Linked DNA regions of Danio rerio. The protein of the gene in region 4 purifies or fractionates together with the protein of the main gene of each other region. This does not show direct contact. Links are inferred from orthologs where the notes say so. Each region holds a gene or a part of one and is shown on either strand. Other genes may lie near its edges. The genes, in order: eci2, ube3a, neurl4, mapk6 and cep170aa.

Region 1 (7,033 bases), on a different chromosome or scaffold from region 4:
GGGGGGAAACCGGAGCACACAGAGGAAACCCACGCCAACACAGGGAAAACATGCAAACTCCACACAGAAATACTGCTTCACATTTTTTTCCACAATCTGCTAACTTGCTAACAAGGCTAAAAAAGTAATACAAAAAACACGGAAAGCTCCATGTGTGATATATTTTAAACCAGTTATATATTTGCTGGATCATGAAAGGCCAGTGCAGCTGTGGACGCAGTGGTTTCCATGTCTGACTCTGGTATGTTTAACAGCTGCGCTCAAATCAGCTGAGAGGAATAACTGGGTCACGACGACTGGGTCAAATCTTTGGTGTCCCCAGAGTGCGTATGTGAAGTTTCAGCTCAAAATACACCACAACTTTATAACACTTTGAAACTAACCGTTTTAGGCTTTGATCCAAATTAAGTAGTTTTAAAATTCTAATGGCAGACGGCTGCTTTTCAGTCAGGGCTGTTTATGCTAATGAGGGAGAGATCCTGACAAATGAGTGGGGCTTTCACCGTCTGATGGCACGTACGAATGGAGAATGCCAATTAAAGCATTTCTGCTGTCTGTTTTAATCAAATCTGATTATAAAAAATAGAATGAATTCATTTTACCATTAGGTGCTGGCTATATTCACATACTGTTGCCACATAACTGTGCCTAAACCCCTTATAAAAGTGTTTTTTGCATAATAGGGATCCTTTAAAAGATGCTCCAGTTTCATTAACTCACTGTGGAAGCATGCAGGAATCACTGCAGTCCCAATAAGGCTCTGGAAACAGACCTGGAATCTGCTCGTCTCGTTTGTTTAAACCAACTATAGTCATGCTTAGATAGAATTCAAACTTTAATATGTGGTTAAAATACGTATAGCTCCTATGCATAAATATTTATAAGACTTTGTTTTAAATGTACCATTAAGTGGTATCATGAGCATGGTGGAAGGCTGGCACAGATTCATGTTTCCAAATGAACCATATATTTGACTTCATCTCATATTTACGGCTCTTTTTAAGTTGTTTACACAAACCCTATCAGCAAGCTAGACACACTACAGTCTCTCCTATTCATCTCACATATATTATGCTATAGGGCAAACCATTCAGGCTTAAAATGTTCCCAACATTAGTTGGATTTTACTAGTAAGAATTACATTTTAGTTATCTGTTTTACTTTAAAATAAAATACAGCAGTTTGTCATTTCATATTTTTTATTATTTAAAATAATCCACTCTGATTAGTTTGGGATGTTTGTCATTGAGAGGGGTATATTTTAGTAAGTAAATTGCAATCTAAGCTCATATTTCACTTTAAATATTACATTAAAATGTCAAAAATAAAAATATGTTAAAATTATCAGTTACTGTGTTGTTTTTGTAAAAAATAGATAACTCTAAATCAGTTTGTACGAGTGAAAATGCCATTAAAATGACACATTTAATATTTTAGCCTACTATGGCTTGCTATATAGTATAATATATGTGGGATAAGAGTGTATTTTATCAAATAAAGGAGTATATTTCAGGAAATGCAGATCTGACTTTTGCATACTTTGCATTCCTAGTTTACAGTTAATATTTCTAATTAATGTGGAGTTTGTACTATAAAGTACACTTTCAAAATGTTGCTGCCTTAAAGTTAAAATGACTTATTAATTATTATATCAAAGTTACATAAAACTATTGGTTGCCATGACTTTTTTGTTTGTATCATTTTAGTGTGTGTTGCAAAAAAATAATTAGCAAAAATGTTAAAATGCTGAAATGATCCAATACTAAAGTCAATTTCTGACAGAATAGATTACTATTATAAAGCTACTAGCAACAGTGCATATACAACACCTAAACATGGGAATATTTTGGGCTAAAAAAGCTTGCCATCACTCTGAAATAATCAATTACTGCAACAGTGTGTAACAATAATAATCAGATAATTGATATCCATTTAAAAATAGATGAACAGATGGATCTTCAAGCAAAATATTTGCTCCCAAATCCAATTTGAGAGTCCCCAAAACAGCTTGATCTTTACATATCCATCTAAAAAAGTAAGCAATGCTGACATCTCCTGGACAGATCACGAGAAACACAAATGCAACTCTAATGCATGTTTTCAGAAGTTAAGAAAAGTGTTTGATATGATTGCTTGGTTCTTAAATTAGTTTCAGAAAGCAGGCTATACTTTTAATATTTACTCCAACTTCAGATAAAATGTTTGTTTACATTTGTGGTATATTTATTCAGAACAAATGTTTCCACCACTCCATCTTTCATGTCGTATGTGCAAACAGCAAGGATATTCTACCTTTGTTAAACCTATTAAATGCATTGTTCGCCCCCCCAACCAAAAAAAAAAAAAAAAGAAATCTCACCCTCCACTTGTTCCAATCCAGTTTGACTTTCTTCTGTTGAACACATTTATGCTTTTGAAGAACACTGGAAACTTCAGGGAAGATGAGGAGCTCAGTCTTTGGCAGGATTCGTCAATGCTGAGATGTGCTTCAGGCAGTCTGAGATCTGTGCAGCTACCATCGGCTCATCTAGTAAGTAAAAATACAAATCATATGTCATCAGGATCATCATGGTAGGAGCAACTGTTTGGTGTAAATAAAAAAGAAGAGGGGACCAAGGACTGAACCTGAAGAATCCCTCTGACCAGATGATGTGCTTTGGATTTACCTGTTGCACATATCACAGGGTGTTCATATATTCCGTGATCTTTTGACATGTAAGAGGTCTTTCTTCGCATTATAAAGCAATACTATCACAGAGGTATTCTTTCGTAGAAAATCACTGTCAATGTTTATATTAACCCACTTATTTGTGCACGTAGATGAAGGTGAGTATTTTCAAAAGAGACACAAAAACAGCATTAGTCAGCAACAAATAATAAGAGTCCTCAGACAATGTATTCAAAATTATTCCTCAGGTCTTTTTTTAAGTGTCCATGAGATCAATCGGTCAATTTTCTTATCATTTATAATAAGAATGTTAGTTTTAAGATTATTTGAATGCTAGTGTGCTGCTAAACAATGGCAAAATATTCATTTAGAAGAAATATTTAGCAGATTTTCTGTCCAATTAAATGCTTGCTTGAATATAAGTGTCTCACCTCTACGATATGCATCACTTTGGCTGTCATAGCCAGTGATTCTTGACAAGCTGTGATATGAGCAGTTGTGGAAAGAGTATTGAAAAATCATATTTAAGTAAAAGTACCATTGCTTGCCTAAAAATATTAGAGAAAATGTATCTGTTGTAAACATTACTCAGAGTTTGAGTAAAAAGTAGAGCTTGCAAAAGTACTTTAGTGAGTATTACACTGTGAAAAGCAGATGCATTTACATTTAGTTATTGCCCAGCAGGCACACAACATCATACGACGTTAATATTAGCCAACATCTTAAACCAAAGTCATATTGACCTCAAATACTGACATTTATTCGTAAGGTATGACAATCAAAATCCAATGCCTGATAGACGTCATAGTGGTAACGTCCACACAAAGTCAAGCTGTAACATCATCAGAGGTTGATTTTAGATTTGACATTGACGGATATTAATTAGTTATTAATGCTTCCAAACAGTTTGCTGCAATGGTAAAGCGCATATATCTTGAGGTAATACATTATGATGCGATTTACTCCATATGTGTGACGGGAATCACAGGACTGATTTATCTATTCTCCATAGACAAGAAATAATGAAGTAGTGACTGCAGGTTGAAGGAAAATAGTGGAGTAAAAGTACAGATACTGCACTAAAAATGAACTCAAGGGAAAGTAAAAGTACACATTTTAAAAATTACTTGGCATTTTTTCTAAAAAGTATGGAGCTGCTTGAAATGTCACATAATTAGTGCAAATTTTGTCAATATACTGAATAACACTTATCAGAAACCACAAAACAGCTTTATATTTTGTTTACGTTTAGTTGTTTTCCCCAGAGCAAATAAATATGACTAAATTACATTTTGAAATGATGGACATTCAGTTTATTAATAGTTTAGTCAGCAAATAAACAACGGTTTCAGACATTTTAAATCTTTAAACTTTGCCAGTATTTATTCAAACCATTAAGTTTTTTTAAAGTACAGTTTAGTATGAAGACCTCTTATTTTATTAATCTTATTAAATCAGACCACAATAACTGTTTCGATTTTACACACTGATTTATCAACATTTTATTTTATCACATCATCAAAACAAACGCTATTTTATGTTCACCAACGGTTAATTTAACCGTGGACACTTTACATGCTGTTATGATGATTTCTGTTTATATAAAATAACTTTAAATAGCCGATATTGTGACTTTGTTGAAGGGAATAAATGTATTTTCCACCCATATAAACTTTCTTGCTGATCTTCAAAGACTAGGCTTTTCAGCTGAATATTGTATGTGGTATTTCAAACATTAGCAGCATTTTAATCACCTCAAACACTACAGTATTAACGTTAAATAATTATTTACTATTGTTAAATAATAAACAATGAGAAAGAAAAAATGACTCACGATATCAAGACACCTGATGAATAAAGCCCGTCTCCTGGTGTTTTAATTTTTCTTGATTTTGAAGTTTTATTTCGCTAATCCTGTATTTCCTTAAAGACACTGAAAAGCAATGTTGGAGGAGTCAGATTAAACTGATGTCTTTGTTTATGGATATCTGGAGAGAAAATCTAACGTTACCTCTCCTCTGTTGTTCTCCTGCCGTGACGTCTCTCCAGCTCCCCCTACTGCTGACACGAAAAATCGCTTTGTGTATATTTACCACAGTCTACGATACTAATATATTCTGGAAGGATATTTGTATTTTAAACGCGCTATTTTAAATTTTACACTTGCTATTCAGTCTTTATTATATAAGTATACCTTATTTGGTTGTCCTAATTTTTTGAAACAAGACAAGGACAAATATTATTCAATAAATGTATGCATTTTTCTTGTGAAGTTAGCTTATACATAAATTAAGTGTAGTTTTTGAAGATGCTGAGCTACGATGTCCTGTTTTCTGTATAGACTATAATGATTAACCTCAGGTGAAGAGCTAATGTGTCTTTTTTCAACTTCATAAGGCTTCTTTTACAGCATCGATGTTGTAATGTCATTAAAATATAATCAGTTAAACAGACTTCAGCGTTCTTTTAGTTGTTCAAGCGTAGACAAACGAGACAAAAGCCTTTACACGCACGCGCCCACCATGATTAGCGGGCTGGCGCCGAAATACCAAGTAAGTCCTTCTGCATACTTCTGAAAAAAAATATTTCGCTGTGTGGTTTTCATACAGTTTTCTAAATTCTGCAACTAATATATTTATACTCAAATTGTATTTGTCGCTGACAGTGTTTACTATTTGCATATGTTATTTGTTTATTTCTGTTATGTGTATTCTCTATGGCTTTCTACAAAGAGGATACATTTGCTTTTGTGCAACTTGCTGTGTGATCCACTTTTTAATTTAATTTCACATTTATTGACACCCCGAATGCTATTCACAAGCACATAATTGTGTAAACTATTAACACGACAACATAACAGAAAACAAAAAGTTAATGAGTTCGCAAATTGTAATTAACTTGGTCACTTTAAGAGCGCAGAACCGTTGTTTGACGTCACGCATTCCAAGAATTTTGACGGCCGAAATAGAACACGTTCGAATCGCAAAGCGTCATACTCTCGGCTAAAGTCAAGATGGTTGCAGCATTTTTGTGTGTGTTATTTAGCTTTTTTTTGTTAATTATTTACTTAATTTTAATATTTCTTTAAAGCATATTCGTTACTCGCTTATTTCCTGTCGTCGTCTTCAGTATTTTGACTGCAGTGGAAGCAGACTCTCTCTGAGGATCGGCCGTCGCAGCTGCTTGCAAGTACACCAATTGCTATATATTGTCAGAAAGACTGATTGCTAAATATTGTTTTATATTTTATTAATATTTTGACATTGTGTTATTAGTTGTGGTTGAAACCTGTTAACGGTCACGTATGTCTCCTAGATAGACTGCAAGAAATGCTCTTTTTTGAGTTAATGTCATGTTTCTAGTCCGAATATCTTTAAAATATTGTTAAATTAAGAAACATTTTTTACATAAGCAAAAATGATCTTGTTTTTAGAAATAATATATATATATATATTTTATGTGAGCTTTTTACTAAAACAAGCAAAATAATCTGCCAAAAGCAAACTGTTTAGCTTGTTTTAAGGAAGAAACTCACTTAATTTTGACATTTATATTTCCAATTGCAAGATAGATAGATAGATAGATAGATAGATAGATAGATAGATAGATAGATAGATAGATAGATAGGTTATTGTTTTTCTTAATTTGCATTATTTAGATTTTAGTTTGATATGAGCAATTCCAAGCAAATGTCAACCTTGCTGTGAAAAAAATAAATTTTTACTAAAATAGCGAAACCCTTTCAGGGATTTTTGAGTAGGCTTGTATTTTATAGTATTGTAAAAATGCTCAAAAATGTCTGTCTTTGTTTTCAAACAATTATATTTGATTTACCAAAGTCATCTAAGTGACAAGTTCACATTCAAAATTTCCACAAAATCCAGAATTTCTACAAAGTGTGTTGTATACTGTTAACTTGCAGACATTTTTGGTCACATCCATATTGGATGCTCATTTAACGTATAAAAAAAGTTTTATAGATTGACATTTTTCTGATCCCATAACCCTGTGGTTAATTGCTCAGGAAAATATGAACATGTTTCAATATAATTAAACACATACTTTCTCTGTGAATTATGTTTTCAGTTTTTACTGCAATTATTACATTCATAATGCTGGGATTGCTCATATATAGAAAATGACCTATAAAATATATGCAACGTGTATATGATGTTATTTGTGAATATTTAAAGAATACAGATGCTAAAGCCTCCATGTGCTGTTTAACATTTTCTTCTAAAATTATCAGTTTTTCCTCAGCCTCCTGTTTATGTTTAGTTATGGAATGAAAATAATTTAATTTAATAATTTAATCACCATGAAAGTGAAATTTCTGTACCTACACACTGGAGTCTGAGAAAAAAT
Region 2 (6,826 bases), on a different chromosome or scaffold from region 4:
GACAGCAGTGGGGATTAGTATGGTTTAATCCCAAAATAAGTTCACACCAGTGCAGATATACATGTCTACTAATCAACCATTTTCATTTCCAACAACCGTCAAAATGTGACTGTTGCATGTGCATATGAAAAATCGGCTGCTGTTAAGATGACAAAGAAAGCGAGCAGTATGTCTTCCATTCTTCAAAAGAATTATTCATTTGAAAGAAAGAGATCAAGAAACATCTATAATGCAGCTGCTCATGCAAAATGCTTTATGCATGGACAAAAACATAACATGCACTGATCTGTCATAATGTGCCATAAAAGAAAACATTCAAAGCACATTTATGTATATATATAGTAAATTTGGCAAATTTGTATATAACATCACACAAAACATTGGGGTTTGATAGGTTAATCAAATGTCAGTATTTGTGATAATTTAAAATAAAGGTTCAAGCAAAATCAGTGACTCAAACCTCAATTAAATAAAGTATAATAATACATACACGCACTTACAGAAATCATAATGATGGATTTAAACGGTCACAATGGAAGTAAACAAAGCCCTTGGTTATGTGTCATGCAAAAGCACACAATGCTGATGTCTTATGCATCATTATAAAAGTATATATAATAAGTCTGGGCGATAAAATTGGTATCGGTATTTATTGACCGTACACTATTGTCAATAACAATAAAAAATGCTTTGGTATGAATCGCTATAGTTTTATTAATATGTAGCTGCTGAGTGCAGCCTTGGAAAGAATGCCAACAAGCTAAGGGTGTAAGTTTATCATTTCCAATGGAGGCGTGCTACTTGCACGACGTGCACATGTTGTTTTGTTTACAGAATTTGAGGTTTACTGTATCATTATTATTGACACCTTAAAGTTTGATTTGATTGTTCAGTGTTTACACTTAACTATTACACACTTTGTAAGATTTTATTTGTCAAGTTTAAGAGTCTCTTTAACACTTTTTACACATTTATTTTATTATACAGATATTTTGTTTAAATATTTTTGTTTTTGACTGATAAAATCATTTTCTTTAGCAATTTTGTTAAATTAAAATAAAGTAGTTAAGTAAAAAAAAATCATAATACTCCTAAATTTATTTCTTAATAAATTTATTTCTTAATAAATATCAATACTGAATGACATGAAACATGATATTGTGATACATAACTATATTTTTTGCAATATCGCCCAGCCCTAATATATAACATTAATTGCTTGGCACTGTGTACTGCCAAGTGTCTTACATTTTAAATATTCTTCACTTTTTAACTGACGGATAAGCCAACCAAATGGATAAAAAATACTTTTTAACCAATAATTATTATAATTGCCCTCAAACACACCCCAAATTTGGGTGATGTCTTTCTCCTGCTTATTAAATGGGATTTTTAGCTGAAACCACATTCCCTGGTCAGAAGAAGAACAGGAAGAACTATGGCAGCATCCAAAAGTTTAGGTAGCAGACTGGATATTACAATGCCTTATGAGACAGTGAATCTGGAGGTGGTGTTTCTGCATAAAAGCACCTTGTGAAACTGATTTCAGATAGACTTCTGAGACAGCATTACAATTTAACTAATAGATAGAGCTTTGGTGAATACAATACTAACTTGTTAGAAATGCCATCAAAAGTAGAAACTGTTAGTCGAAAACATACATTTATACTAGAAAAATCTGATAATGCGATATTTAATTTTTCTGCAATGAATATCGGGATATACAGTTTCACAAGATAGTTTGAATAGCTCTTTTTAATGATTTTCTGGGGAGTCTAACAGTATTCAGGTACAGAAATTAAGCAATCTTGAAAAAAAAATAAAATGCTTTTCTTACTTTGTCTCGTTTCTAGTTCAAATATCAAACAATTTTTAGATCAAGTAGAAATAAAGTTTTATTTTCATTTGAACTAGAAACAAGACAAAAATACTAAGAAAGAATTTTTGTTAGTTTTTGCATATATCATATAAATTCCTTATAAATACAGTGACTAAATACAATTCTGTAGTTCCTGCTCAACTATAATTCAGACTTAACATTGCGTATCTTGTGATGTGACTTGTGAATGCACACATTGTGCTAAAACGATATATTGCGCAGCCCTAACTTATACACAAACTGACAGAAAAGTGGAGCTTTAAGATGCCATCTTTATTTTTTAGCTCTCAGAAATGTAAAGCACAGGATTGTGAGATATCGAAGGCAGTGAAGGACGCATACACTGCCCTCAAAATTCAATCAGAAGTAGGTACCTCCTGAGACAGTAGGCGAAGCAAAATTTAGATTTGGACGTGCCCTGATATTTTCCCACCTTAGAATGCTGTCGGATGCAGCTTAAATTAATACCTGTGGCTGGCAATTGATTATTTAAGATGATCAGTCTGTGCAAGAATCTGAGCATTACTTGTGGTCCTGGCAGTGTTAACATTCTTAAGCTCTTTGTTGCATAATGACATGTTTGGGTCAAACTGACACTATTTGTTTACAATGGAAGAGGCATGTGTTGTATTGCTCACAAGAATGGTACATGTAATTATCTTTGATGCTGCAGCCTATATTAAAAAAATTATGATTTCCTTCACGTCCATGATCTTAATAAGGAAGACTGACATTTTACACTGACTGACTGCCAATGTTTAATATGAAAATTATTTTTTGTCAGGACATTTGTGCCCCAGACTGTGCGCCGAATAGGCATGAGATGATAACAGTTTTCAACGTATAGTGTGCTTTGGAAAAGTCAAGGTTTGAAAATCGCCCAAACCTTCTGCTATAACGTTCCTAAGGTATGTGAGAGGTTTTTTTTAACGGTTTTTTAGGACAACAGTATCTCCAGCAGAAAAGATATCCAATGCATTATAAATTATAAAGAAATATGATTTTGAAACTAATGAAGACAGCAGAAGTCTATGGTATATTTGAATGATTTACCCTCACATGTTTACTGCTCCAAAATACTTTAAATGTTTCTCTAAATAAAATGTATTGTGTTCAAAGATGAAAAAAGTTTTTTGTTTTTTACCCAGACATTTAAAAAGAATATTTCTTAGGGTGCTTTCACACCTGCCTTATTTAGTTCGATTGAATCGCACTAGAGTTCGTTTCCCCTTTTGGTACGGTTCGTTTGGGCACCACCCTTAGAGCAGTGATCACGATTTCGTCAAACCGTGATGTTTTTATCCAAGGTTACCATACCGTCAGAATCTTAAAACAGCACATGCCTAGCGCCAAATATGTTCAGGAGTTTGTGCAGAGGTGGTGTATAATTTAATAATGTTCAGTTATCTGCGCTATGCAATAATTTAGCAAAAGATGACATCAATGTATGATAAAGAGCCAATTCTTCGAATCACCAAACACCCCAGTTTCAGCTAAAAATAATCTTAAGAGCTAAAAAAAAAAAAAAACTAAAGTTCTACAAAAGAAAGTCACCCACATTCTGAATATCTAGAGGGCAAGTTAATTAACAGTAAACTTCAATTTTGGGTGAACTAGCCCTTTAGGGAAAAGTATAAGTCAGGTAAAAACAAAGACACTTACATTAGACTTGCTTTAAAGTTTCCAATATCACACTCTTCTACGGCTCTGAACTCAAAGAGACCCAAAGGTTGTCAGGTAGCAATCCTGCAGATGAACAGAAAACATCAATAATTTCACTTTTGCAGCACTGGGAATTATACTAGTGAAAGGGACATTTAAAGAAACTACCACATTATTAACTGCAATTAGTAAGAAAAACATTGGTAAGCACAAACCTAAAGTGAACCACAGGGCAGAAATATCACCATGGACAGCGTCTAAAAACCTAGCAAGCTGACTCCCTAGACAGTATTTGATGTCTAAAAATGTTGCCTGGGTAGTCAGCTCACTGTTTTTTGACATAGTACGTGTGTCTGCAAAAAAAAGGGCAGCGACGTAAACATATACAGACGGCAGCCGCAGAACTAAAAACAAACTGTGTGCTTTCGCAACTGAAGCATCCTGTGTGCCGGTAAACAGTGGTTTACCCGGAGCAGAAGCCGGAGAGGCCGCGGACGGGAAGGCAGGGGGTATGACAGTGCACAAACAACTTCTGCTTTGCACACACACACACACACACAGTCAATGCACTACAGATATCATCCAAACAAACGAACACACCCATAATAGTCATTAATAAAGTCCGCTGAAGATGATGATGATCGGTGCATTTAAAGCAGAGCGGGAACTGCAAATCTTATAACCTTGCAGTAACTGTCATGGGGAGCAATGGCAGGAAAGAGCTGAGTAACTAGTTAGCCTAGCTGCAGCTAACCACAGTTTAACATTTCAGAGACGCATGCTAAATTTACTTAACGCTTATTGCCGCGTATTATAATCGATCACGTATTTAGGATATCGGGATTAACGGTATTTCCCTTGTTTACCAGAAAGCTCCGTCCCTCCCTCCCCGGAGCGGGTTAGCAGCGCGGCTAACTGGCCTAATAGCGCTTCTCGCGGTGCTCCAGGCGCGGTCGGGACAGAAGAAGCGCGATTAAGGTTTTGACAGCTTACTTTTGGAGGTGTTCTGATGCTGACGAATGAATCTGGTCTCTCAACATCACAATCGCTTCTAGTGCGGCGTGTATTCAACTCCAACCCCTCCACAAAATATTCGCGGCCATCTTGATCAACTGAGGCAAACACGGAGAGCGATCCCACAATGCACTGAGGCACGAGGACGACCATCAGTATAAAAACACGGCACAGCGCTCTGGCAGTCAGTCAAGATCCGAACATGTGTGTTGAAATACTTGTTAACACGTTCACTACCATATGCATGAGCCAGATAATAAGTTGTAAATTTTGGTAAAAAAGTAGGATTTTTTTATTTACACATAGATCTCAAACTAGAAACTAGTTATGTTTTTTTTCATCAGCAGAGGGCAGAACCTGAAAGCAAAAATTCAAGAAACCTGATTTGTTTTATCTAAGGTTCATTCCAGTGCTTTTGGGACCAATAGTAGATGTTGAATAATCTCAGTGGTTCAAATTTTTTGAGTCAGTTGACCTGAGAAATTAAGCGATTGATTCTGTACGGTGGGAGTTAAAACACCAGTAGGTGGCGACTGTAAAAAAAAAAAAAACGATAGCTAGGCCATAACTGTAACATTTTATTATTTATTTTATAAGCATAGAGTGCTGCGGGAGGTATGATGTCAAAACACAGAAGACAGTGTTTTTTCATTTGTCCTTGTCAGATTGTCCTACCTCCCATTCAAAAGTAGGTAGCAAATTTTGATGACACAATATGCTACCCATCAGATTTTGCTACCAGCGTAAATTTTAATGGTAGTGGGAGTAGTAAAGCTGTAATATCACCATAACCCACCTAATCCCTTTCCCCAAAGACACATCTATTCAAGTACAGTGTTGGGAGCATAATCTAATGGGATAAAATGTCAGGACAACGTGTACCTTGAAATTTTCTTAATCTGAGGAAAATGTAAGGCTTTGCACTCTTTTGATATGTTTGCTTTACAATGTGCTAAATTTATCAAATTATTGAAAACTATTTCTGCAGCAGGAATGGTTATTTAATAATTCAACTTACTTTAGAAACAATTCTGGTCAAAATTCATGCAGAAACACTGCAGTGCGCTCTTAAAATTAATGTTTTTTGTTTCTATATTCTTTATTGCAGCAATGCCATATTTATACCTTGCAACAACCTGTCCAGTTCTTAAATAAAGCACTTATTTCTTAGTGTGAAGAATATTCTAATGTTCTAAAGAAGCTTTTTCCGGCGGATTTAGCCATGGGCAATATGGACCCCCAACCCCTTATACTATGAATTTTTAAAAAACTATTTTTAAATATGTTTTAAATATCACCTATGATGAAAAGTAAGCTATTTGGAAAGAACCAGGGCTTAATTTGTGCCGGAACACACCAGATCCGGATCCGGACTTGGCACCTCTGAAATCTGATCCGGCACCTCATTTTACTGATTCCCCTCCTTAACCGCCCTCCTGCCCTGTCCGCTGTTCACTTTCTTCCCAACTCTCCAACTCTCTTCACTTAAGTCTGTGACACCCCTCCACCATCCAACACCCTGCCATCTATCCACTTGCGTGCGCGACGCCTCTACAGCTCCGTTGCCCCGATCTGTTCCAGGACCTCACAATTCACAAATTAAGCACTGGACAGAACAATTTTTATGTATAGTGTGTCCACTGTCCTATTCGAGTGGTACAAATCCAACAAGTCTCTTTTTAACATTTTTCTGACGTTAAAATAGGACCCAAACTCCAGTGCTTTTGAGACCTGCCGCAACGTGATGTAGGAATGCGGTTTTTCCCGCCCACCAGATTGATAGCCATGTTTGTATAATAACATGTATACACATGTCCCCGTAACTTTTTTTTTGCAAATAAACTGTGATTAAAGTATTTGTTACAACTCTCTTTTATTGAGTTTTAAAAGTCTTAAACGTTTTTAAAACAGCATCTTTGTAATAATGACAATAAAATCGCTATCTAATTCTTAACCGCTATAATCACCACGGCCGCATCGTGTCAGTAAACACTAAAATCTGTTTATGTATCTGTGTACTGCAAATGGCATTTATGTGCAACTCATCGATTCACAAAGGCTTGAATAAACTCCAACACAAATACATCAAATAAACTTTGAAAATATTTTTGACTAGTGACTTTATTTCAGCTTTTTCCGAGTCTGTCTCTGTCACTGTGCTGTTCATCTGGCATAACGCATGATGTGAAAGCAGACACGCACGTGGGAACGCTGGGCAGGGAGAAGCAGATCATTTGTATTAAAAGCTACAGGCTACAAAAACAGCTACTA
Region 3 (6,249 bases), on a different chromosome or scaffold from region 4:
AGTGAACTTGGTACAAATGTGTACATTAAAGATCTGGGGCCTCATGTACGAAGACTTGCGTGGAAATCATACTAAAACATTGCGTACGAAAAAAATTCAGATGTATGAAACACTGCGTACGCCGAATCTCACGCATATTCTTTTGGACATTCGAATGAACGTGAAACTGAGCGCAACATGCACGAGCACAAAACCCCTCCCTGCCTCCTCCCCCATATGAATATGCTAATGACTCTACTTTGGCAAAACCCAACGAAAAAGCAATGGCAAAATCAAGCAAGAAGAGAAACTTTGAACAGAATGTGAATTGGAGGTGCTGCTTCCAGGGGTAGACCGGAGAAAAGCGGTGTTATTTGCAAGTTTGTTCTCCGGAATTAACAACAAAAGAAAAAAATCGAGTGGGAGAGTTTAGCTGATGCGGTTAACACAGTTGGGTCTGAACATCGTACTGAGTGCATTAAAAAAGAAATAGTGTGGTTTATATGTGTAAAATGTTGCATTGCCCTTAACAGTCTCAGTGGCGCAGCTCGTAAGACGCATGTCAACATGTTTTGACACGTTCGAGCATGAACTCGGTTCGATTCCAGCGTCTGATGAACTCTTTCTTCTTTTTTCCCCCCCGCTACATATCAGATTTTGCCCACTATTTATCATGAGAAAGACAAGTAGGAATCATTAATAAGTTTGTACATCATATTTTATTTGCACATTTATTGAATGGAAATGTTTCTGATTCACGCATGCAAATTCATCTTCAGATAGTGTCTTTATAGCAATGTGCGTGCAGTAGATAGCTCAGATTACATTGGGAAAACAGGCGACCACTGCAAATTGTGCTTTAATGTTTAGCTGGTCAACTGTATGGTATGGAAACCTTATATACCTGCTGAACCCGTCTCATACAGCTGCCATTGCAAGGCTCAGACACTTTGTAGAGAGGAATTTAACACAACTGCCTCTAGGAGTCGCCAATGGAAATAAAACAGACACGCACAAAAAATGTGCGTACGCCAGCCAGAAAGCTGCCGTGAAGCTGCGCACATTCCCACATTCAGTTCATTGTTAGTAAATCCAAACGTGAGCGATTCTGAGCGTGAAACCTGGCGTACGCAAAGTTTTTGTGCGTACGCAGCGTTGATACATGAGGCCCCTGGACTACAGGGGGGTGGGGGGGTAGTTTTATTATATGAAATATATGTCCTTCATTTCAGCCTATATGTTTTGTAAATAAAAACAAATACTGACTGACATTTTTGTCCTTAGGTGAACTCTTGGAGCGGCTCTATAGAAATCGGTGTGACGGCGCTGGACCCAGCCGGTCTGGAATTTCCCAGCAGCGCCACAGGGCTGAAAGGTGGCTCGTGGATTGTGTCTGGCTGCTCGGTGCTGAAGGATGGCCGTTCGGTCCTGGAGGAGTACGGTCGGGATCTTGACCAGCTTGGGGAAGGAGACCGTGTGGGCATCCAGCGGAATGGGAAAGGAGAGCTACACCTGTGGGTGAATGGGCAGGACTGCGGCGCTGCTGCTAGTGGACTTCCATCTCGACTGTGGGCTGTGGTGGACCTCTATGGGAAGTGCACACAAGTGACTGTGGTGTCCTGTGAACCGCCATCTGAAATGGAGGGTGACGAGGATGAAGAGGTGGAGGATGAGATTGTGTCGACGCAGGCAGTGTCCATTATGGCAGATGCCTGTCGTAGTCATGATGATAGAGCTGCTGTACTGACTGCAGCTGCTGCTACTACAGAGCGGATGAACGGATCAGCGGAGGAAGGTAAAACTAGACCACACTGTACAGAATGATAGAGATGATGTAACATTACATCTGGTATGTAAAGCTATTAAAAAAAGGAAGAGACCATTGAGAAAGTCTCAGTTTTTTTTTGGATTTATAATTTAAAGTTTTTTGTTTGAGTAAAACAAAGGGCCCTATCTTACACTCGGCTCAATGAGGCACAAGACGTGTTTGGCGCGATTTTCAGACTAGCGCAACCCTAAATTTCATGTTTTGCAGCACATTGTTTAAATGGCTAATCCATTTGTGCCACTTTGTGGACTCATGGTTGTGTTGGTCTATAAAGGAGGTGTGTTAAGGCGCATTGTTGACACGTTGCTATTTTTAAGAACTGAAACAGATCACGCCACTAACCAACTAAAAGCTGGTCTAAAGTCGAGTGCAGAGAGTGTTTATTAAACGCGTGTGTAGGTTCAAATGCTTACACGTTGCTTAATGCACACAGGATGGAAAGCAATACACAAATATCTTTACATATGAAAAATTAGAATAGAATAAAAGAATTAAAATTTTACAAAAATTATTATTGAATACATGGATATAAAAACACTACCTCCATGCCTTCTTCATCCCTCCATGCCTTTTTCTATATGCCAGTTTGCAATTGTATAATGTTTTTATTATTAAAAGTATTATTTATTATATTCATATTTATATTAGTTTTAATAAAAACAAGTTTAGATTTGATCTCCTGTCAGGTTTTGGAGATGTATGCCTTGTTTACCTAATTAACCTAGTTAAGCCTTTAAATGTCACTTTAAGCTGTATAGAAGTGTCTTGAAAAACATGTAGTATAATATTATTTACTGACATCATGGCAAAGATAAAATAAATCAGTTATAAGAAATGAGTTATTAAAACTATTATGTTTAGAAATGTGTTGGAACAAACTTCTCTCCGTTAAACAGAAACTAGGGAAAAAATACACAGGGGGGGCTAATAATTCTGACTTCAACTGTACATAAGTACACCCCTTACAAATCTATCTTTTAAATTCATATGTTTAATTGGAAGCTATACAACATTATATTTGTGCATATACATTAGATTAGTCAGTATTGAAGCCAAATCTGGAGCTTATCTAACAAAATAACATACGATAATGACCCCAAAAGCAGTACACCCAAATTCATATGTTATAGAAAAATATTAAATACAAATTTAAAAACGAGGAAAAATCAAGAGAAGCAAAAAAAAAATAATAAAAAATTGTAGGTTGTAATTTTTTTGCAATATTTTGCTTGAATTTAAGTGTTTGGTGACTTAAATATAATTTTAATAAATGTATCTGTTTAATAAATGTTTTGTTCAAATGCACCAAAATACATTGCCTATATTCACTGAGAAATGAAGAAAAATATTCTTTTTCTAAATGGGGTGTACTCAATTATGCTGAGCACTGTATGTCTAATAGCAAGAGAAACTGAAAAATGTCAAGTGGTGTCTAAATGTTTTTTCCATAGCTGTATATTTAATATTTATTTAACAATTCTTTATGAGAAAACTTAAATAGCTCTGTGTAATAATGTCTTGTATATAAATAATTTGGCTGAACCGCTTATTACTTTTAAAAGACTTTTATTTATCATGTACACTTTCAATATTTGACTGTCTCAATTTTAATATTTTTCCCCCTTTTCTCATTAGTGCCTGAAGTGTCAAGGACGCACAGTCGGCCGGACAAATTTCCAAATAACTTTGAGCCTGATAGTGGTATGTCACATTAAAATGGATTCTTATTTATAAATCATCAATAATCTTCAATGTCATTGTGTTTCACTGTATTTTGTGCTCTATCTTTTTCTCTTTCATAGTTTTGACTGAGCATCAGTTGTTTGATGTGTTCAACAATGCCATTGTGTCTCTGTATCGCTCGGAGGATGACGGGGCAGAGGATTTGAATGTTGGGGGTGGAGGTGGCGGTTCTGACTCCTCAAGGGGCGGCACAGGAAGTAACGGTGGAGGCAGAGGAACAGGAAGTGACAGTGGCATTGGCGGCGGAGGTGGTGGTGGAGGCAGTAGCAGCAATAGCAGCCCGGCGGGCAACGCTGGTGGGGCAGCAGGACTAGGGGTGGGCACTGGTGGAATGACGACCAATGATGCACTGCTGTTTCATGAGAAATGTGGGACGCTGATCAAACTGAGCAACAATAATAAGACAGCAGAAAGAAGGAGACCGCTGGATGAGTTCAATAATGGAGTCGTCATGACCAATCGACCACTCAGGCACAACGAAATGTTTGAGGTATGACTTGTTACATTCAGACAGGTGTAAGTTGTAATGTTTACTAGAATTGTTAGTGCAGACAACTTTATATAATTAAATGTGTCAAATAATTCTTAAAGTGCACCTATGATGAAAATCATCTTTTGTAAGCTGTTTGGACAGAACTGTGTGTATGTATAGTGTGTCCACAGTCATATTGGGGTGATAGAAACACAAGTCTCTTTTTTCTTTGACGTTAAAATAGGATCCAATTCCTTAATATTTTGAGGCTGATTGCAACGTGATGTACTGTAAGAGTGCTGTTCCTCATCCAACGTATTGATTTACAGCAGTGTATTAACATGTCTTCATATTAACGTGTATAATCATATCAACAGGACAGGACTTGCGCAAAGAAACCGTGATTAAAAGATCTGTTCAGCTCTCTCTGATCATCAATCATAATCAAATGTGATCAAGAATGATTTTACAAGTTTAAAACAAAAAAAAAAAAAAGTATTGTATTGAATTACAGCGATTTTACCATCTTTACTTTATCACCACTGCCGCGTGTTCGTACAATTATAAAAGAAGATGCTTTAATCCGGGTTTGTGGATGTTAAATCAGGTTTATTTTGTACATTAACCTAAGGGATATCCATACAGCATTGGATATTATCCTGTATCCTGTCACATTTGCAAGCAAAATCAGTGTTTAGTTAATTGCGTGCATGCTGTGTGTCCGTTGTGTGTGTGTCTGTGTGTATGTGCGTGAACTTTGTAATGACATTGTTTGTGACTAATCTTCACAAAGAGGTTTGAGTAAACTCCACAACAAATACATCAAATAATCATTGTGAGTTCTTACTGTAGTATTTTACACAAACGTTACGTGAGATCTGCTTCCTTCTGGTCTGTCACTGTGCTGTTTATCTGGAGCAGCGGAGGCGGAGATTTAGGGCCTACTCACACTATGCCATCCGTACCATGCCCAGGCCCGTTTCCCGGATCGTTTGAGAAGTGTGAGTGCGCTGAATCGGGCTCAAGCACGGTTCACTGGGCCGGCCCTGGCCCGGTTGGAAGAGGTGTGCCTGAGCGCGGTTCACTTGGGCTTTGGCACGGTACGCTTGTGTGTGAGTGCAAAACGCGCCAAAGCCCGAAACTGAAAGCGAGACGTGACTTTTAAGAGGCTGTTTCATATGGATTTATTAATCATTCTTACTGTTCAGTGAACACAAACTGCCGTAGTTTATTGAAGACGAGAACTCCTCACAGCACGACAGTTGCGTGCCTTCAGCAGACCTCCTCATTCCTGCAGCAAGAGAGCATTATGATTGTTTATGAGCGCCAAAAGTAGCGGATCTGTTGACTACTATTTGACTGCATGTCACTGCATATCAAACCGACTGACTAGATAAATCTCCACTGTGCTGCTGAGTGAGAGGGCTTCTCACTGAACAGCGCAGCAGCTATGACGTAAGCGTGCCGAGGCCCATTTGTGGTGTGAGTGCGGGCCGTCGGGGGAGACGGGAGGGGGGACAAGCGTGCTTTGGCCCGGTTCGAGGCAACTGTACCTAGTGTGAGTACGGCCTTAGACACACTCTGACAGGCACGTGGGAATGGTGGGCGGGGATAACTACTATTAAAGGCATGGGCAACAAAAACAGCTACGCTGTGTTCAGAGCAGAAAATTTCAATATTCTGAAAGCTTTAATAAATAATGTGATTGTTGTTTTGAGTTGAAACTTTACAGACAGATTCTGGAGACACAAAAGACTTTTCTTAAATTTTGAAAACGGGGTAAAATAGGTGCCCTTTAATGTAATGTGAAGGATTTGGCCTTAAATGGATAGGTCAGACAAAAAAAAAAATAGTAAAAGAAAAGTTAAATTATTCACCCTCAGGCTGTATGTGCAAGATTTAGTTGACTTGTACCTTCAGAAGAACATTTAAAGATGGTTTAAAACTGAATTGGTGGTCTTTTGTGACTCGTAAAATGCAAATCAATAGCTACCAGCATTTTGAAAGTGATTAAAATATATATACAGTCAAAACACAATTAATACCTGAGGCTCCTGATGATGTTGAGGGTTTAGGCAAAACAATAAGTCCACAATAAGAAGCAATGAGAAACTGCACCTTTATAGGTAATAATTTTGTAAATAATTACTTTTTTATTTAGTTATCAGCCAAAAGAATTAAACATCTTAATTTTTAGTTGAAGTTGTTGAACTAATTTTTTAAACAA
Region 4 (6,249 bases):
TCTGAGGAATATTTCCAGTACCTTGTTGAATCTATGCCACGGAGGAACAAGGCAGTTCTTAAGGCAAAAGGGGGATCCAACCCGGTACTAGTTAGGTGTACCTAATAAAGTGGCCGGTGAGTGTACATAGAACAAAGAATCATAATACTTTAACAAATTATACTGAAATAACTTTTCTTGTTTGAATTTAAATTAAATAACTAAAATGCATATATTGGTTTTCAAGCCTACAAAAAAATAAAATAAATAAACACTAGAGAATAAAATAGGATTAAAACTTTTAAACATGTCTACTTAAACTGCCATAAACTTCACTTTCATGTGTTAAGCTTTGAAGTCTCATCCCTAAAAGGTTTTCCCCTTCGTCTTAAACTTTTAGTTCTCAAATTTTTCCAAGTTATCACAAGTCAGTAGAGCAGCCAGCTTCATAATTACAGGACCGGAGTCTGATACGGTCTCTCAGCTTTCTTGCTCCCTGTAGAAGAAACCCAGACCAGAGTATGTGTGGGGGAGTGACGGCAGCTATTCATAGACATCAAGTAGGAACAGTGCTTTTTCTCTCAAAGACTCGAGAGGAGGCATCTCAGCACATATGTGAAAGCAGATCTGGCTGGCATATGGATCATGTGAGCCCACAAAGGAGAGGGGATTACAAATTTGTGACACGAGTACACTTAAACCAAGCCACAACCCAAACATCATCCACACACACACACACACACACACACACAAAACTGAACAAATGAACGAACGAAAGAACAAGGAAAAACACATTAAAAGGAAACAAAACGTCAATCTTTTTTAGATTTCCCAATAGGTTGTTTTCAGTCACGTGGTCCTGGTGATGTGCGAAATTCAGATGGAGGGCAGGAAGTAAAAAAAAAATAAATAAAAAATGAATGGGAGACATGGTCCTCATTTTTCCTTATTTTTCCAGTCCTTATTTTTGCGATACATACCATATGTCAAAGGACATCTAAACAGAAAATAGGCACATATGTTGGCCATGACCCTTATATCATGAAGATGATCTTGTTTTCTCTTGAACTAAAATGTATTTGCTTGTTAATTATGTTTTATGAAAAAATACTATGATGAATACTATAGTGTTCGGAAGCATACTATAATGACTTGTATTAAACTGTTGTAGTAATTATTGTTGCTGTGGTACAACACAACTGTATTAATAAATTATTCAATAGGCTTCAGTTATCTACGCTATAATCACAATGCACCACAGTTTATACTGACGTTACAGTTTATCAGTTTACTATGCTACACTATTACTATAGTTTCTCAACATGCAGATATCTTGCAGACATCACAAAATAACAGATGAAAGCATACAAAAGCGTAAATGCATAGTCTACAATATATATTTATTAGAGGGGGAAAAAAGTGCTTAAAATTAAAAAAAATTTAGAGTTTTGTTACAAGACAAAGGCATTTCTTTTTTGTTCTGTCGATAAATTTACAATTAATAAACATTCACCACTGCTGCGCATCTCGATGATAGCATTAAGATTGTAAATTCTGATGAAACGCCAGCAAAGACATGGATTATTGCAATAGAAGATGGAAATTTCATTGCTATTACATGGCAGGGTACGTATATTCTCCTGGATTTTGTACAAGTGGGGTGGTGTTTGCATTTAATTTATATACAACATAACATGTATACACATAGCTAGGCCTGCTTATAATCTTTATTGAAGCTGTCAAATGAATTATCGTGCTTAAAAAAAAAAGTCTGTACACATGGATGTATTAAAAAAATGTTTATAACATGCCGCATTTTCTTCTGTTTTTTTAACCAGTTTGTTTACTTTCTCCGCTTTATGAGTTAAAACTTTTGGCAGTCTATAAAAGCTGTTCGCCATTTCTTATTTTGGCTGATTTAAACTATTATAAGGAACATAAAACAAATAATTTGATGTTCTGATAGCGATTACGTAAAAGTATCACTTCATGCACTCCTTCTGAATTTTGCGCGTTATCAATAACGTCACGTCAAAACAACCTATGTTCCAAAATATTCCACTCTGGCTCAATTCACTTTATCCTGCATTGCGGAAGTACGTTCTTTTCTGTGATTGTTTTAGGACTTCTGGTTAATTTGCCAATGGAGGAAACGACTAGGAATGACAAAGGACAGAAACCGGTCGTACAACTTGCTGAAAATCCCAGCGTGCTTATTATGATTATAAATAAAAAAAAATATATTAAGAAAAAATACCAGTTTGCAACATCAAACAGCAATTTTTATGGCTAAAAATCAATGGACGCGAATGAGATCGGAAGTCTTTAGCCAATGAGGTTCTAATGGCTGCACCCGCTCTCATGTAAAAGAAGAAGGTCAATAAAGGGACAGCTGTGCAATTTTGTCATAATATTTTTCCATCAGCTTCCTTTTAAAACACAACCGGATGTACAGCAACCACACAGAAAGCTAACATACAGGAAAGGGCGTCACAAACAGGAAGTCGGAGGTGCCAATTCAAGGACTGTTTACTTCCTGCGATACAAGGAATCAGTGAATGAAATGAAATCTCATTCATGTCTCAGCCAAACAAGACGCCATCTGGATGGTTGTCAGTACGATGAAACAGAACATTGAAGGTGCAAAATCTTAGCAAGTGAAAGCAAAAGAATAAATACCTTATGGGAATAGTGGGGGTCCATGATCCGGGCGAGTCCAAAGTCTCCAATTTTTAGAACCAAGTCCTCAGTGTTGACAAAGAGGTTGGCAGGCTTCAGGTCACGATGAAGCACGTTTGCAGAGTGGATGTATTTGAGTCCCCGGAGCAGTTGGTACATGAACAGCCGTGCGTGATCCTCAGACAACAAGCCCTGTTCCAGTACTTTACAGAGGTCAGTTTCCATGTACTCCTGGACGATGTACACTGAATTGACCTCTGTCAGAGAGCTCACGTCCTCCGTGAGCCTCCGGCCACTGGGCCCCAGAGTTTCGAACACCTTCACGATGTTGTCATGATCAAGCCTGCGGATGATTTTGATTTCACGCAGCGCATGTTTGACACTCTGTGGGTCAGTCAAGACAATCTTTTTAACAGCAACCCTCTTGTCACAATCGGTATCAACAGCGGAAAACACCAAGCCGTTGCCCCCGTAGCCAAGTGGCTTCAGGTCCATGTAGCGAGGCCCCAGATCGAAGCCATGAATGTTCATAAGGCTTTCAAATTTCTCTGCCATTCTGTGATCTAGAAGAGCAGCTCTGTGCAGATATTATAGCAGGAAGTGTTTCTGATTTTAACTGATATGCAGCCAATTTGGAGTTTCTAGAAAAAGTTGACTCAAACTACACTCAAGCCTAGTAAGACTTGAGTGTTTTCCCCTGACCTACTGTTACAGCGTATACTGAGAGATAGGAACTGATAAGGATATGTTGCCAGGATATGTGGTCATCATCCACAACACTTCCAGCAGCTTTTTCAAGACTAATGGGAACTTAACTTAAAATGGAAATTTGATTTGTTTCAATGTTTAATAGGGCGTAACGGAATGAATTTGGAGGCCAATCAAATCTCTCTGAACGAAACTGAAATAACTGAAGTCTCTACAAATAAAACCATTGTCACAGTGCAGAAATTTTCAGTGTACGACTGGCCCTGAGCAGCAGCATTATTATTATTATTAACGGTCCTAGTAACTGGTGACAAATGTAATGTTTTTCCTTGTTCCTTTTTAAAATGCCTGATGATGGGAAATTGAAATGTTTGATGTTCTCAACAAGACACTTCCTTCTCAATGATCAGGCGGCTCCAGCTCACCGCAGTCGCAATCAAAACTATCCTCCATTTTACACCGGGATACCCTGCAAAACGGCACAAAAACAAAACAGATTAGGAGTGTAATATAGGCCAAAATAGCAAATCTAAATCTAAAGCAATAAATGTGCATTCTGAACGACACAAATAAAAGAGAATGGATTTGATCTGTTTTAAGCTCAAAAGGACACTGAATAGAGGGCAACAATCTAAGCTGAAAATACTAATTTTAAGGACCATGAGTGTTTAATGAAATGCAACACTTATTCAGTTCTGATCTTTTTGAATGAAACTGATTTAAAAGAAAAAAAAATCATACAAGGTTATGGCATCCCTCTTGAGCAATGTTTCCTGTGTGTGTTTGTGTGTGCTCATGTCGCCACTACACTTTCTGATGTCATGGGTTCCCGTTTCTCCACCTCATGACTGTAAAAAGCACCACAGTGATCATAACACACATGTAATGGATTAACACGGGACCCGGCCGGTCTGTGGAAACAAAGGTTGGTGATTCAGCCACGTTGCAGCAGTGTGTGAGGGAAATGATGGCTAACCGGCCGACCATTTTGTTAACTAAAAGAGGGAGCCAACAAACCTTAAACCAGTCCAGTAACGTTAGTGACATTAAATCAACACATATTAATCCTGTTTACACTATGAGAAAGTGAAAGCGTTTTAATTAATAAACATAAACCCATCATGTTGCTTAACGTTATATGGATTGACCAGTAAAACATGTTTAAATGCTTTTATTGACAAGGTTTACCAACTCATCTCAAACACAAAAAGTAAATATAACGTTACTACGATTATTTCTGAACAAATATATAAATAATTCATTAGGTATTAAAGCGGCTTGCTTAAAAACTTTGAAAAAAATGCAATAATGACGCAAACAATAACTTGGCGTTGTTGTACACACGCGGTTCGCTTTTGTTGCTGCTCTGTTAAAGTTTACAGTTGATCGGCTTGTTTATATGGTTTATTGGCCATTTTCGGTCCTCCATTTTACTACCGGCTACATGCTAAAGCTAAAACCAAACCGGCTCAGAGACGAAACATTGGCACAATTCAAAAACAACTAAACTGAATTAATTACCCAGTAAAAATATGAGTATCCGCGAATATACAAACTCTACAAAACGTTCGTAAGCATAAATCAAACATTGTTTCTAAGACAGCGGGAGAATTCACATATACACCAATTCGCCTTACAAAGGATTATTAAACAAGCTATTAGGAGTTAAATAATCTTCTTAAGTATTATAATGTCTCGTATATCAGTAAACAATGTATTATAACGATTTAACAGTCATTTCTTTATGCATTTACGGCGCTTCGACGCGTTACCTGAACAAAGAAGGTTATTGTGCCGAGGCTAGATTTCATCAAGCCGCCCATTTGCCGTTAAAATAAACCCTTTAACCCAGCAAAACGACCATATTTACGCTTTAGACACGCTTACATACAAAGCAAAGAAACAAGCCATGTACTCACTCTTCTCGCTGGTGTCATGTATATTTTATTCCTAACCGTTCCGGGCTAGGTTTGTGTGCGCTACCTGCGCGCTCTCCTTACAGACTGCTGTGTGTGTGAGTGAAGCTCTTATGTTGAAGATCAGTGTGAATAAGCGTTGCGACGCATGCGCATTAATGCGTGCTTCTATTTCCATCTGTGAATCCCCCGCTCTATGAAGCGCATGGGCACTTCATAGCGCTCTTGCACTCATCCCGCTTCTTTTATTGCTATGTAAATCGCGCCGCATTCACATTCATTGATATTAAAGTCATACATTTTATTTAATAATTAAATCAATTATACTAATAATTTATTCGAAATCATTACATTTAAATTAAATGTAATAACCACTAAAGATATGTTGATGTGACAGAATATTTGAAATTATTGCACAACAAATTCTGTAATGGCGGTTCATTTCACTGTAATAATCAGGGACTAAGCCGAAGGAAATTAATGAATAAATAATTCAGTAATTAAAACATAATTTAGTAAAATTAGCAGTTATTTAAACTAATTTAAACTAATTAAATCAATCTTTATACTAACCAAAGCATACACTGTAAATAATGCTGGGTTCCACACAATCCTTCCATGTCACCCCACTCAAATCGATAAAAAAAACCTAAATAATTGAGTTGGTTCAGTTCATTTTAAATAAGTGGCTAGAATAAGCATTCAAAATATTTTTTGAGTGTTCAGGATCCAGAATATTTCAAATTACTGCACAATAAATTCTGCAATTATTAAATAATCAGAAAAGTTTGTAGTTATTCAAACTTGATCTCAACTAGAATAATTAAATTGAAATTACTTAAAATTTATTTTAATTAAAATTGTATTCACAAAATATATACAGTTGCCAGAAGCCATAATATTTTTAATTATTGTACAATAAATTCTGAAATCAATAATAAATTAGCAAAATCATCAGTTATTAATA
Region 5 (6,249 bases), on a different chromosome or scaffold from region 4:
CTTCTGGCTGTAATGATTGTACTACCCACTGCGCCACAGTGCTGCCTTATATTTTTGCTCAATACTTGTTTTTTGTTTGCAAAACTTCCTTATAGTTTGCAAGTATACATGGCCCCAAGATTGACTCCATAACAACCATCTCTAGTGTTTACAGATGATCTTAGGTCAGAGAAGAACAGCCAGACTTATTTGAGCTGATTGAAAGACCACAGTAATTCTTGAAACGACTCTACGACTGAGGTCTACAAAAGATCTTGCGAAACACTGTGCCAAAAAAAAAGATTCAAACTCTTGTTAGTAAGTTGTACCTAGAAAAAGTAGCCAATGAGAGTGTACATTTAAAGCTCATATATCACTACACCGCTGTCTTAATTAGCACTTTATACTATATACTATGACAGTTCCCATAGAAACCTTGTTTTGAATGGGTATAGACCAAAGATCGGTACATTTATCAAAATTAACAGCTTAAACAAATCCCTTAGCACAAAAGTATATTGCGATTGCCCCTGCAGAAATGAAATCTGTTAAAAACAAACAGCAAAGCTCTTCTGACAAGATACCTGTAAAATGTAATGCAAGTGATGAAAAGGACTTTGGATCGATAGTTTTGGTTGTTCAAAAGTTGGCGATGCAAAATAAGGCCCCTTAAAAAACTTTTACTTGTACAATAATGTTTTCTTTCCGTCATGTTATTTTAGCTTTAAGCCACCAGGGGGAATGTGTTTAACTGACCCTCATTTCTTACTGCTCTGTGCTTGCATCAGCATTTGAGAGACAACTTTGCTCCGATTTTGACTGTGTGGCATTAAAGGGCAAACATCTCTATTAACTTTACACATTAAACTTTTCAGAATAAATATGTTGTTACTCGTATGTGGTTGTTAATTATTTTGAAGTGATGATGTGGTTAAAACCTGATATCTAAATGCTTTTAAAGGGAAAGCAAGTTGGCTGAGGTCCTTTCCACCACTGCTGAGTTTTGATTTTTAGAAAAAAGAACACATAAAAAGCAGTTGACACGTTGACTAGAATGACATTTAAAAGCATGCCGGGTATGAGTTTCTTCTGTTTTCACTTTATGAAAACTCAACAACACACACACACACACACACACAGAGCCCAGAGATGGTACAGTACCCATGGGCTCCTCCTCTGCCAGAACACTTTCAGGCTCAAGTTGAGTTTCTGTGCAAAATGGGAATTTATAAATATCACAAGCATGCAGAGACAGACAATTACAGACAAACATGACTAATGACAGCGGTCTAGTCCACATGAAACATCACAAAACTGCACAAGCTAAACTCTACTGAATGCTAAAGGTCTCATTATATACCCAGTTAACACAAGTAGGAAACTAAGCTGGTTTTTATTGCCTGTAAAACATTTATTTTGAAAGCTATAATATTTTCTAAATTGTAGATTTATGCAAAATTACACATTCAAAATTTAAACTATACAGTTGAAGTCAGAATTATTAGCCCCCCTTTGATTTTCTTTTCTTTTTTAAATATTTACCAAATTATATTTAACAGAGCAAAGAAATTTTCATAGTATGTCTGATAATATTTTTTCTTCTGGAAAAAGTCTTATTTGTTTTATTTCGGCTAGAATAAAAGCAGTTTTTTTTGTTTTTTAAGGTCAAATTTATTAGGCCCTTTAAGCTAATTTTGTTTCAATAGTATACAGAACAAACCATCATTATACAAAAACTTGCCTAAATACCCTAACCTGCCTAGTTAACCTAACTAACCTAGCTAAGCATTTAAATGTCACTTTAAGCTGCATAGAAGTGTCTTAAAAAATCTAGTCAAATATTATTTACTGTCATCATGGCAAAGATAAAATAAATCAGTTGTTAGAAATGAGTTATTAAAACTATAATGTTTAGAAATGTGTTGATAAAAATCTTCTCTCCGTTAAAGAGACATTGGGGAAAAAATAAACAGGGGAGCTAATAATTCTGTCTTCAACTGTATGTTCAAAAGTCTGGCCTGTATATTCAGTCCTAACTGGAAACTCTGTATAATGTTCACCTGAACTTGATCAAACTTTCTTTTGGTGTTTTTACATTAAATAAAATGATGAAAAATAAAACTCTACACAGATCATAATGGTATTTTCAAAATTCACCCTATCATTATCTAAAGGTATCTTAATATTCATATTGACTAATTTGTCCACGTTTCTTTTTTTCAGCCATTTTAACTGTTTAAGCCCAACAACGAATGTAAGGATAAACCAACAAACAATAGCTTCATAGGATTTTATGATTGTTTTTTTAAGTATTTTTAATCAAACCATTATAAAAAAGCTAAACTAAAACACAACACACATAGTATTATACATAGATAAGTTATATATTATAGATGGTTAACAAAATATCTGGATCTAATCGACTCACTAATCAACAAGTCAATTGTTATCGTCGTAGCATTCATGCAATACTTTGATTTATCGCCTCAAGCCCTGGTCACACTTTAATTTTCACTCCATAGACTTCCAGTTATAGGTTTGTGACTGCGGCAGACAAGAAACGTAAGCTTGTGCGACAAGTTCCAAATTTTGCTGCATTTGAAAGTTTAAACTTGGTGAACGAACTCTGACCTGCGAAATCGCATCACATGATTGCATTAGACCAATAGAAGATCAAAACGTGACCTCTATACAGAAATTTCAAATATGGACCAATCGCTCGCTTTTATCAACAATGTCTAATCATATTGTTTTACCCCACACCTTTCATAGCGCCGTACGACCGAATTTCGCTAGCACAAACTCTAGTGTGACTGTGGTTTTATGCCATTTTGACCTATGACCTTCCTTCAACTGGCAACTGCTAGGATAAGCAAGCAGAAAACAAATCATTTAGGCAAATGTTTACATGAGTATATTACAATACCATTCCTCCTCACCTGATGGGGTGCTGTTGACTGGGGTTGTCTTCGGCTTGGGGTCTGTTAGCTTGGAGACACTATTAGCCCTCATGCGTGCAGTTAGCTTGTTTTCTGTTGCTGGCTGATTTGTGCTTTTTAGTCCCAGCCTAAGAGCTGTCTCTGCCGACAAGCGTGCCGCTGTAGTCCGACTAACCGTGGCCTCAGAGTCACTCCGTGCTGAAAAAGAGCCCAGTCTGGTGCGCCGGGGTTGTGCTAGCATGTCAATGCGTGACTGTGCCTTTCTTCCTGATGGGGGTTTGGAAGTGGAGCTGGTGGTAGACACCTCTGATGCCACTGAAACCCTGTCTGCATCTGCCAGGTCTGTGTCCGACGTGTCTCCAAGTCGAGCCCTGCGTAACAGGGACGCCCTTGTGGGACGGGGCTGTGGAAGCCCAGCTTGTTTTGCGAGAGCTGCAGTGGTGGTTTGTGGTGTTTTGCTGGGCTTTGAAGACCTTGAGGATTTGCTGGTATCAAGCTTGGACTGCAGAAGGTCATCGGTGGAGGTGAAGTGACCTTTAGTGTGCGAGCGGCTGGAGTACATCTCCTGGTCTGACGATAGGATGTCTGAGATGGCTAATGAGGATGTCTGGTCATCATCAGTGAGATCTTGTGATGGCTGGCGGCCACGTGAGGATGTCTGTACTGAACGCCGACTATCAGAGCGGCTTTCTGTGGTTTTGGTTTTGGTCTTCCTCTCCAGACGTTCTCTGGCACTGGTTGTGGTTTTGGATGCGGTGCTTGCATTGCTCTTTTCTCTGTAAAGGCTACTGAGAGATCTTCGTTTCTGAACCGCCTTACGATCGCCGTCGGCTGCTGTCTGGCTGACTGTGCTGGCCGTGTCGATATCAGATTCAGGAGATAAAGGGCAAGCTGGGGGACATATAGGTGGGGTTATTGGATCCAACTTCTTCTCATCGCGAAGTTTAGCCTCAAGGAAGGCCATGACAGCTTCTGTGTCTTTGAGAAGAGTTGCTGTGTCCATGCTGCCTACGGAGTCGCTTCGTTCTCTTCCACCGTTCTGCCGGTTTATCCGAGGAATCAGTTCAATGGGGACGTTACCGCTGGGCTTCTCAATGGTAAAGCTGCCCTGCCTCACCAGTGGCTTCCCTGATCTCTCGCTGTCACTCCCTTTACTCTTGTCTTCTGATCGTCTCCTGCGACTATCCTCTGATGCTCGTCTCTCTCCGTTTCCCAGGGGGCGCACAGACTTTCCTGCCTTCCCTTCTTGCTGGGCGCTCTTGGATTGGCTAGAAACAACGCTCTTGCTGTTTGTATTGCTGAGGCACTCGCCATCACCTTTATGGTCACCGTGGCTTTCTTTTTCCTGTGGTTCTGTGTCCTGCTTCTCACCGATCTCTGATCTCTTTATTTTCTCATCGGTGGGAAGCTGCGGGAGAGTCCTTCGTTTGCGGTCAGCTTGGCTGGAAGTGGTAGAGCCAGTGCTCTTGATGGAGATGCTGGTCTCAAACGCCTCACCATCTGAAATTGGAAAAAAAAAACATATTATAATTGACACTTATATGCATTTTTTCTATTATTTATACTTATTTAATAAAAACAAAAACAAAAAAAAACAGTTCAACTGAAATTTTCAGAAAAACATTAATATAAAAATATTTAACTGCATGCATTGCTTTTCATAGTATCTTCTAACACTACATTGCTCAATTTAATATTTGATCAAAGTGAAGTAAATTACCTCTCTCTTGATGGACGAAGGCTGGTGGTTCGGCTCCAGATCCCTCTGGGTCTGTCCGTGTTTGATTAGCTGCTAAACTGGCCCACTGTGAAACCCAGCGAGAACTGCCGACTGCAATCGAATCTTCCACAAGTTTCTGCAAATGAAGTAAAGATGTTTCTATTTGTCTGACTGACAGATGTAAATGTTGTCTTTGATACAGTCCCATGAAGAGCTGACGACATGGCTGGATTTTCCAAACAAACTACACAAATAGTGAACATTTACACATTAAAGATGAACAAAAATGGAAATATTTCCCTTTGCATTCTGAGGATCTTTAGATACAGATAACAACCTTGTCAAAAGTATCAGTGAAAACTACAAAAACGCTTAACAATGTCATTTTGCTATGACATGCTACACAACTCTACACATAGTACTGTGGTCTGCCATTTTTTATGCTTGTCAAGAATAAGACACATCCACATGATGTCAACTTCCACAAAATCGACATACTGTATGGTGACATTCTGCTTTGGTGATCACAAGATCTTTTCTAAACCTATTGCCCCCCACTCTCTTCAAGTTTGTTTCCTGTTAGAGCTTAGATCGGGCCCAAAAAATTAAACCCAACCCTACCTGAGCCTGTGCACCATTTGTCCGAGGCTGACCCAGTCCGACACACTCGCTGCAATTATGAGCCCGAACCCGATTTAAACCCGACTATTTTTTAATTTGTGGGCCGTTAACAGGCATTCTCAATTACAAATCTGAGTTGTTTGAACTACATAAATTAGTTTAGATTTATCTATTATTGTGCAACAAGGACGAAGCATGTAAACTGCCTTGTTTGTTTATTCAGAATGGGTCATAGCAAAAGAAGACATTGAAGGCTGACTATCATCCTTTCATCCATCCTTTTACATTGTTTCATGTGACTGTTCCTGTTTAGATACTGTCCTGTCATAATAAAATAATAATATAAAACAAAATAAAATGAACCTTTAAAAAACTGTTGTCTTGTAGTTTACGAAGAGAAAAAAATAAAAAACTATTTTGCATTTTAAGACCATTAATACGCCATTGTTCATTCATTCATTCATTTTCTTGTCGGCTTAGTCCCTTTATTAATCCGGGGTCACCACAGCGGAATGAACCGCCAATTTATCCAGCAAGTTTTTTTTACACAGCGGATGCCCTTCCAGCCGCAACCCATCTCTGGGAAACATACACACACACACACACACACACACATTCACACACACACTCATACACTACGGAGAATTTAGCCTACCAAATTCACCTGTACCACATGTCTTTGGATTGTGGGGGAAACCGGAGCACCCGGAGGAAACCCACGCGAAGGCAGGGAGAACATGCAAACTCCACACAGAAACGCCAACTGAGCTGAGGTTCGAACCAGCAACCTTTTTGCTGTGAGGCGACAGCACTACCTACTGCGCCACTGCCTCGCCCCTACGCCACTGTTGTGTAAATTAATAGCCCAAAATTCATAAAAGGCTTTCTGTTTTCAGTTGTGTCAGTTCCAGTTGTTTCAGTTCTGTTATTGTGTAAATTCCACATCAGAGAGAATTTTTTGATGTTTATGTTGATTTACTGACACAATGC

Evidence for each region.
Region 1: the proteins of mapk6 (region 4) and eci2 purify together in Homo sapiens (affinity purification with mass spectrometry; 3 studies listed by BioGRID and IntAct, with this or other methods). This does not show direct contact. The link is inferred for Danio rerio from reciprocal best matches to the Homo sapiens genes MAPK6 and ECI2.
Region 2: the proteins of mapk6 (region 4) and ube3a purify together in Homo sapiens (affinity purification with mass spectrometry; 3 studies listed by BioGRID and IntAct, with this or other methods). This does not show direct contact. The link is inferred for Danio rerio from reciprocal best matches to the Homo sapiens genes MAPK6 and UBE3A.
Region 3: the proteins of mapk6 (region 4) and neurl4 purify together in Homo sapiens (affinity purification with mass spectrometry; 6 studies listed by BioGRID and IntAct, counting the BioPlex papers as one, with this or other methods). This does not show direct contact. The link is inferred for Danio rerio from reciprocal best matches to the Homo sapiens genes MAPK6 and NEURL4.
Region 5: the proteins of mapk6 (region 4) and cep170aa purify together in Homo sapiens (affinity purification with mass spectrometry; 3 studies listed by BioGRID and IntAct, with this or other methods). This does not show direct contact. The link is inferred for Danio rerio from reciprocal best matches to the Homo sapiens genes MAPK6 and CEP170.

The regions. Positions count from the first base shown.
Region 1 is NC_133199.1:3,107,011-3,114,043, reverse strand, and holds the start of eci2 (enoyl-CoA delta isomerase 2), read right to left. Parts: upstream 4,732-7,033; 5' UTR 4,503-4,731; intron 2,528-4,502; 5' UTR 2,360-2,527; intron 1-2,359. UniProt on the Homo sapiens protein: Able to isomerize both 3-cis and 3-trans double bonds into the 2-trans form in a range of enoyl-CoA species. Has a preference for 3-trans substrates.
Region 2 is NC_133181.1:41,320,362-41,327,187, reverse strand, and holds the start of ube3a (ubiquitin-protein ligase E3A), read right to left. Parts: upstream 4,690-6,826; 5' UTR 4,535-4,689; intron 3,626-4,534; 5' UTR 3,544-3,625; coding exon of another isoform or gene 3,542-3,543; intron 1-3,541. UniProt on the Homo sapiens protein: E3 ubiquitin-protein ligase which accepts ubiquitin from an E2 ubiquitin-conjugating enzyme in the form of a thioester and transfers it to its substrates.
Region 3 is NC_133187.1:24,223,412-24,229,660, reverse strand, and holds part of neurl4 (neuralized-like protein 4), read left to right. Parts: intron 1-1,263; coding exon 1,264-1,774; intron 1,775-3,442; coding exon 3,443-3,508; intron 3,509-3,609; coding exon 3,610-4,040; intron 4,041-6,249. UniProt on the Homo sapiens protein: Promotes CCP110 ubiquitination and proteasome-dependent degradation. By counteracting accumulation of CP110, maintains normal centriolar homeostasis and preventing formation of ectopic microtubular organizing centers.
Region 4 is NC_133193.1:42,124,809-42,131,057, forward strand, and holds part of mapk6 (mitogen-activated protein kinase 6), read right to left. Parts: intron 5,372-6,249; exon of another isoform or gene 5,286-5,371; intron 3,836-5,285; 5' UTR 3,214-3,835; coding exon 2,659-3,213; intron 1-2,658. UniProt on the Homo sapiens protein: Atypical MAPK protein. Phosphorylates microtubule-associated protein 2 (MAP2) and MAPKAPK5.
Region 5 is NC_133188.1:11,431,808-11,438,056, forward strand, and holds part of cep170aa (centrosomal protein of 170 kDa), read right to left. Parts: intron 4,775-6,249; coding exon 4,639-4,774; intron 4,419-4,638; coding exon 2,919-4,418; intron 1,189-2,918; coding exon 1,141-1,188; intron 1-1,140.